Macaca mulatta: one gene and its partner. The protein of the gene in region 2 binds, or shares a complex with, the protein of the main gene of each other region. Links are inferred from orthologs where the notes say so. Each region holds a gene or a part of one and is shown on either strand. Other genes may lie near its edges.

Region 1 (3,950 bases), on a different chromosome or scaffold from region 2:
GAATCCTCCTATATCCAGAGCTGGCCCTGCCCCTTTCCTGCTCACAGCCCTCCCGCAGCCTCCACCTCCCCCAGGACAAGGTCCCAGCCCCTCAGCCTGGTGTTTGAAGGCCTGTGGCACGTGGCACCCCCTAACCTGTTGCTAAATCCACAATCTACCTCCATCCTGCTGCCTCACAGACCCCAGAGATCCCAACGACTTTCCAACCTTGGTACCTGCTCTTCCTCCTGTCTCTCAGATCTCTAGCTACCCCTACTTAAATACTGCTCTTGCTGACTTGCCTGGTGTGGGCGCCTCCCAGCAGTGTGACTCTCAGCAGGTGACTTGGCTTCTCTACATTGCTGATGGTGCCTACTCAGCATGTAACAGGCCTTGATGAACAGTAGCTGCTGTGGTTACATCATTAGCTTCAGTTTGCACACTCAGGCTAGGTGTGTAATCAGACTTCACAGTGTGAGTTGGGGATGTGACTTCGTATGAAGGTGAGGGAACTCAGGCTCAGAGAGGGTGAGACGCAGGAGCATGGCCACTCCACGAGCTTGGGGCTGGCTGTGGGTTTACTCCCCATTCCCTGCCCACCGGGGAAGTCGCTGCCAACCCCTACGCCTGTCTGCGACTCCCAGTTCTCCTGCCTCCCTTACCCAGGAAGCCCTCTCCGGGTTCGCGGAGGCCACGGGCACGGCATTCGTCAGTCTGGTGGTGTCGGGCCGGGTGGTGGCAGCAACGGAAGGTTGGTGGCGGCTGGGGACGCCCGAGGCCGTGCTGCTCCCCTGGCTGGTGGGGTCCCTGCCGCCGCAGACCGCTCGCGACTACCCGGTGTACCTGCCGCACGGGAGCCCCACGGTGAGTGGGTGGGGCGGACGGGGCAGAGGGATGTGACCTGGGGGCCGAGTCGCTAGGAAGCGGGATCTGCGATGGAAAGGGGCCGGGCCGCGGTCAGCCCCAGCCTGTGCCCTGCTTCAGGTCCCACACCGGCTCCTGACCCTGACACTGCTGCCGAGCCTGGAGCTGTGTCTACTCTGCGGGCCAAGCCCACCCCTCAGCCAGTTGTATCCACAGGTGAACCTGCGCCACGTCCCGCTTTCCCCCTTAGGACACCCTGTACCTGCAAGGCCCTTTCCAACCACCCTGCCCTGCCAGCGGCTTCTTTCCCCAGCCCCGCCCCTTCTGGACTGCGCTCCAGTCATTCACCTTCCCCGCAAGATCGGCCACCCCCGCGCGTCCTCCGTCCTTCCAGGCCTCGCCCCTTCCCTTGTCCCTTCTGCCCTCCGCCCTCCACTGTTCTCGTAGGCCCCGCCCCTCCCGATTGACCACGCCCCTATCGTGCACTCCCCCGCCGGCCCCGCCTTCCCATAATGACCACGCCCCCTGCAGCTTCTGGAGCGCTGCTGGCAGCCACTGCTGGACCCGTTGCGGGCCTGTCTGCCGCTGGGACCCCGAGCGCTGCCCAGTGGCTTCCCCCTTCACACAGACATCCTCGGGTAAGGCTCGGATGGAGGGAGTGGGTTGGGGATCATGTCCTCTTCCCCAACCATGACATTCCCTTCCCTTTCCCACAGGCTGCTGCTCCTCCACCTGGAACTGAAACGCTGCCTCTTCACCGTGGAGCCCTTGGGGGATAAAGGTGACTGAGGACAGGGGCAGGGGCAGGAGGAGCGTGGGCCGGGGAGGGGCTCTGCATCACTGCCTTTTCCTCAGCAGAGCCTTCACCAGAACAGCGCCGGCGCCTCCTCCGAAACTTCTATACCCTGGTCACCTCCACGCACTTCCCACCAGGTCAGCGGCAGGCACAGTGCTCCCACTGCGCAGGCGGGGACACTGAGTCTCTGGTCACGCAGAGTGGGAGTAGGAGGTGGGGTTGGAGGAACCGGACGAACCCAGCATGCACTGGGCCATAGGGCTGTGGTTTTTCTTGAGATCTGAGATTTGATGCAGATGGGAAGGGCGATCCTCTTTAGCAATACACATGGCAAACACGGCAGCAACACAGGAGCTCCAGTAGCCTTTTCCAGGAGGGAAGGGAGGGGAAGGGAGGTCCCTGCCTGGCTTCAGAACCTCCTAGATCATAGTTAACAATAGTTAACAGTGAGACCTCACCTCTTCCCAGTGCCTTTACATGTAATGAAAGAATGAAATCACTTTATCCTCACAAGCGAGGACTATCCTGTTACCTCATCATTCCCATATTACAGATGAGAAAACGGAGGCTCAGCTTATGAGTGGCACAGCCATATTCGAACACAGGGGATCTGGCTCCCATATCCACACGGTCCAGCACTCTGCACTACTGCTGAAAGCACAGACTTTGCTGATAGGCTTGGGGGATGGGGCAGGTTTTCACCGATGCTGGGTTAGAAAGGAAAAATTATTGTAAAACCCATAAAGGCCCAGAGAGACAAAGGGAGGGCCCTGGGATGGCGCTATGACCCCAGTGAAGCCCGGATGAATGCAGCACAGTGGTCAAGTGCTCCATCTGGGGGGCTGCACCCCTTCTTAGCTGTGCGACTCCACCTCTCCCTGGCCCCTGCCTGCTTCCCTCCACCCACCTCATGCAGTGGGGCGGGTGGGCTCCTGGAAAAGGCTACTGGAGCTCCTGTGTTTCTGCCGTGTTTGCCATGTGTATTGCTAAGAGGATTGCCTGCAGCTGCACAGTTTCCCCAGGAAAATGGGGGCCAAGGCTGAGAAAGAGGACGAGGGTGAGCTGAGAGCATCATGGTCTTCAAGTTGCTGACAGCTTGCTAGAACCCCGAGGCCCTGCCCTGGCAGAAGGCTCCCAAAACCTGTGCTCAGAGACCCCACGCGTTCAGAACTTGGGCCCAGGATGTGGTGTGGCTTCCAAAGGTTAGCATGCTACTTGTCACCTCAGTGCCCCCTGTTCTTTCCCCAGAGCCAGGGCCACCAGGGAAGACAGAAGATGAGGTCTACCAGGCCCAGCTGCCCAGAGCCTGCTACCTGGTGTTGGGGACTGAGGAACCAGGCAAAGGAGTGCGTCTGGTGGCCCTGCAGCTGGGGGTTCGGCGGCTGCTGCTGCTGCTGTCTCCCCAGAGTCCCAGCCATGGGCTGCGAAGCCTAGCCACCCACACTCTGCATGCCCTCACCCCACTTCTTTGACTACCTAGCAGTGGGTGATGGACACAGACATGGGGCTGTTAGCGTCTCTCTGTTTATTCGCTCACAATAATACACAGCCCCTGGATGGGGAGGGGGTAGGAGGGGCTACAACAGGGTGGGGTGGGAGGGGAGGAGGCATCCACTTTCCTTGCCCCTCTCCCCTCTGTGCTTGGGAGGGGGAAGGGAGGGAGGGGGCTCCCCCTAACCCCCCAGAATGTAAACAGCAGCAGATGAACAAAAATAAAAATACAAAAGGCCGGAGGAAGGTCCCAGGCATCCCCCAACCCCTGGCGTCTTCTCTGTCACCAGTGGAGGTCCCCCATCCACCAAAGCTGCCTCAGTCCAAGGGGCTGCCCAGTGCCGGCCACATCCCCGGGGGCAGAGTCCAGGGCTCAGAACTGCTGTGCCAGCAGCTCACACAGGTGACGGGAGACGGGCTCCTTGCTGGTGCGCAGGGTCAGCCGATACATCTGGGTGGGGACATTGGGGGCAGAACTCAGAGAAGATGGGGAGCCCAGGGAAGTGGGGACACAAGGGAGATAGAAGAAAGAAGGATAAAGGGGCCAGAAAAGTGATACAAGACACAGGAGAGGAGAATGTAAGAATGAAATCAACGGAGGAGCCAGAAAGGAGGGAAATTATAAATGAGAAGAGAAAGGTGGAAACGATATGGAAAGGTAGAAATCAGGGAGGGACAGGAAGAGGAGAGGAAGACCAGAGGTTGGAGACAGGAGAGAAGATTGATGGATAAAGAGGAGGAAAAGTGGACAAAGATGCGAGAGGAGGAGGGTCAAAGGGGGGACGTGAATTGAACAGTGAGGCAGGAAGAGTGGGCACAG
Region 2 (3,817 bases):
CAGAACAAAGCAGTTATTTCAGCGTATGTGCTTTCTAAGTATTTAGAAGATTAGATTTCTAATAAACATGGACTAAATTAGGTTTCTTCATGTAGCTTTAATCAATGCACTTATTGTGTTGCATCCTTTAGCCACCTTTCTCTTTTTACCACAATGTCAATAATTGTTTTTCAGTGAAGACAATTCTTTATAATTTCATAGTGTAGATGCATGTGTAAAATATCTGTATAAGTTGTACATTTGGAGAGAGGTTTTTTAAAGATTCTAAATCACAGCATGTCTTCCTTCCCATCTCCCCTGCTTACCTGGTTTTAGCTCCTCTTTGGTTCAGGTGTGCTGGTGTCGCTAAGCCTTTCTGGGCCGCAGCTGGAAAAAGTGGTGATTGACAGAAGCCTGGTGGGGAAGCTCATCTCAGACACCATCAGTGATGGTAATTACCCCCATGTGCAAATCAATTGCCTACATTAACAGTGGGGCAGGAGAAATAGTGTGTCAACAGGTAGACTAATTATTACCACTGGGGACTTGCAAACAAAACAAGTAATTGCTTGTAATAGCACACTTACCCCCTGGGACCAATACAAGTTTTGACTAATATTTAATATCAAAGTTTTTTTTTCTTCTTGTCAAGTGTTAAGCTTATGTTCTGAGTTGTTTTTTACTTTTTCCTTAAAAGAAGTGAGCATTGTTTTCAAAATAGGGTTTTGTTTTCATTCTTTCAAAGTTAGTTCTCTATAACTGGTACTTCAAGTATATATTTCATTTCCAAATGAATTTTGAATAAATAACACAAATATACCAACACAGCCACCAGTAAACAATTGATGCTTTGGCTCTCATAGGAAGATTCCTTGTTACTAAAATCTTACGAATACTAACTTTTGAGAGATTTTGGGCTATATTTTCTAAATAATAAAGATCAATGCCTAATATACTGGATAATCAGGTCCTATTAAGTGACATCACAATCAGTCTGTAATTGGTACAAAGCACATAAGAAAAAGATATTAAGCCAGTTATTGAATAGGAAGGATACTGATATTTATTGAGCCAAAAGGCTCTGTATGCTGGGTTCCTAACCTACCTATTTAATACAAGAAAACAATTGTATAAGGTATAGTTGTTTCCATTTTTACACATAAGAAAACTGAAGCTGAGCTACTAAGGAACATGTCCAGAGTTATATAGCTAGAAAGTGACTGAGATGAGATTTGAATACAGGTTCTGGCTGCGAAGCCCATTTTCTTTTCACTATACCGTGCTGACTCCTGAATTTTTAAAGATTATATTCTTTTTTTCAAGGTAAAAAGGTTGAGAAACATTGTATTATCATGATAGATTGAAAATGGTCAGTATCTTAAATTTAGTAATCAAAGGAAGTATGTCCTAGTGGAAAGGACAGAGGTGAGAATAAAGAAATCTTCCGTCTGCTGTGTTCTCTCACTAGCTACCTCTGAATAAATCAGACAATCACGTCATCGTGAAGAAAAGAACTCTGCAGGATGGCCATAATTAGCAACATTACTGATAGTAATAAGCTGGGGGTAGGATTGTAAGCATGCCATTTCCCCTTCCTTACAGGAGTAAGGTGCTGAGGAAGCTTCCCTGTAGAAGAGGTTCCATTTCCATATGTCTAATTATTGACCCCTTCATTGGTACTGCAAATAAAATACTGGCTCTGATGATTTTGTTATATTGATGCTCCTCAATGAGAAATAAAAGGAGACTTTTCAGCACAATTTGTGTCTCTGAGTTATCCCTTTTCACGTATTTCTTTTATTTGTACCCAAAATAATACACTCTCATGGGAACGTGGTAACAATGTGATTTCTTGGCAGTTCTCCAGATTCTCTTGTAATTGTGTAGATCCACTGTTGGTCACTGTTTGCATGGTCAGGGGTGTGAAAGTAAAGGAAAATGTATAAAACATTTAATAATTTCTTTATGCTAGGAACAATGCAAAGCATTTCTCAAATTCCTGTAACATATTTTTATCAATAATTTTATGTAACATCAATAGCCCTTTATATAATCCACAAATATTAGTTATTTACCTACTTGTATGCTTAATGACAAAGCTATAGAAATTGCTAATTTTCATTATTAAATATTAATTTATGTAATGTACATATTGGGTATAATATGCTTTATTTCATCCAGCTTGTATACCCCTAAAAGAAGATTCACTGATGAAAATTTTTTAAATAAAGAGACTGGTTGAGAACACTGATCAGTATCCCCTAATAAATCCACTTTATCCTCAGATGGTTTCTATCATATAAACATAGGATTAAAGTCTTAGCACAAATAAAATGGAATGTTTTCATCTCTACATTCAGGTGTGAAATAGTTTTTTAAAAATATCTTTATAGCCCTGGTTCTAAATACATCTCATCCAGTGGTGGTCCCCAAACATCAGTGTATATTGAAATAGTCACAGGAAAAAAAAATCATACATGATTAGATTGATAATTATTGTTTATTCCTAATATCTTTAATATTTTTATAAAATGCTATAATGATATTCAGGAGACTTTAGTGATTTCAATTAATATGTATGTTTGAAAATAGCTTTTTGTAACATTTCAGTGGAAAAAATCTATCCATTATTTTATTCTAACTTGGTATTATCTAATTATGGTTTTTAGCTCTTCTCACAGACAGTTTTATCATCTTATCATTTTTGGCACAAAACAAGCTATGTTTTATTCAGTTTACCAAGAAGATGGATTCTTCTGATGTAAACAAAAGACTGGAAAAACTCTCAGCCTTGGATTATAAGGTAGATATTTTGATTTATATAGTCATATTATTAATTATTAAGGTATATGAAAGTATCTCATAAGTTGGTATTCTGCTCATTATTCTTAAACATTCTGGATTTCAGAAACACTGGAAATATTACAGGATTAAGCTTAATTAACTGCAAACAGTGGCCATTCTAAGTTTTCTTTTATACTCTCACTATGGGGGGATGTCTAACAATGGCATGTTTGGAGCAATTTATATAGTATTTATAGACGTCAAAGACAGATAATAGAGGCAAGTTACACTTTGAAAATGGTTTTTGTACTAGTGGTAGTATATATATTCTCATTTTCCCGTAAGACCCCATATCATCTTTCTAGGGTAGGATAGCTGCTCTGGTTTCCACTTCACAAGAAAAGAAAGAAAGAAGAAGGCACTTTCAAAGGTTAATAGAAAAGTGTAATAAATAAGGAGGGGGAAGAACCCTCCCCTTCCAACTATAACTGGACAAAATGCAAAAAGAAATCTCCTTCATGTGTTAGTATCTCTCCCTTCACTAACTCCAGGTAATTTGTTTCCTTCCTGTAGCAGGGGCTTTACATCTGTTAAGGCAGAATTCTTATTTTAAGTGATGTGTTTAAGTTTTGCCACATTACATTTTAACTGCTGGGAAGGCATATTCTCTGCTAGGATGAGTATCTAATACATTTTCCAGGCTGTTTCAGTTCAAGGCCTCTTTTCAGCAATGACTTGTGTTTGCAAGATTGATCCAACCTCTGTGATGTGGATTTGAGACAGTTCACTGTTCACTGGGAACAGAGCTGATACACAGCTTCCTTAAAAAAGATGCACACTTATGCCATACCTGGAGCATCTACAGCAAGAGCAAAGAGTTTGAGAAGCTAGCTCTGTAGCTTGAAATGTGTGTGTGTTTTTGGCAAACTAGTATTTAACCTAACCCTTTGCCCTTTGGGATTATTACTTATGAATGAGGTGGTGGTAGTGTGGGAGGATTTAGTTTTATTTAGTAGAAACATTTATTCTGAAAAAAAGATTTTTAATGTAGAAT

The links.
Region 1: the proteins of WDPCP (region 2) and FUZ are in contact, whole or in part, in a cryo-EM structure (PDB 7Q3D), measured with the Homo sapiens proteins. The link is inferred for Macaca mulatta from reciprocal best matches to the Homo sapiens genes WDPCP and FUZ. Residues at the interface, in NP_056994.3 of Homo sapiens: Arg55, Ile57, Asn75, Lys78, Leu82, Glu418, Asp419, Arg420, Leu421; in NP_079405.2 of Homo sapiens: His293, Glu372, Glu373, Pro374, Arg379, Gln397, Pro399, Thr400, His401, Gly402, Ser405, Leu406.

What each region holds. Positions count from the first base shown.
Region 1 is NC_133424.1:62,274,224-62,278,173, reverse strand, and holds the end of FUZ (protein fuzzy homolog), read left to right. Parts: intron 1-645; coding exon 646-843; exon of another isoform or gene 844-845; intron 846-963; coding exon 964-1,059; intron 1,060-1,374; coding exon 1,375-1,481; exon of another isoform or gene 1,482-1,482; intron 1,483-1,559; coding exon 1,560-1,624; intron 1,625-1,698; coding exon 1,699-1,776; intron 1,777-2,887; coding exon 2,888-3,111; 3' UTR 3,112-3,395; downstream 3,396-3,950. Other genes in the region: AP2A1 (AP-2 complex subunit alpha-1), read right to left, coding at 3,504-3,581. UniProt on the Homo sapiens protein: Probable planar cell polarity effector involved in cilium biogenesis. May regulate protein and membrane transport to the cilium.
Region 2 is NC_133418.1:61,314,221-61,318,037, forward strand, and holds part of WDPCP (WD repeat-containing and planar cell polarity effector protein fritz homolog), read left to right. Parts: intron 1-315; coding exon 316-430; intron 431-2,648; coding exon 2,649-2,782; intron 2,783-3,817. UniProt on the Homo sapiens protein: Probable effector of the planar cell polarity signaling pathway which regulates the septin cytoskeleton in both ciliogenesis and collective cell movements.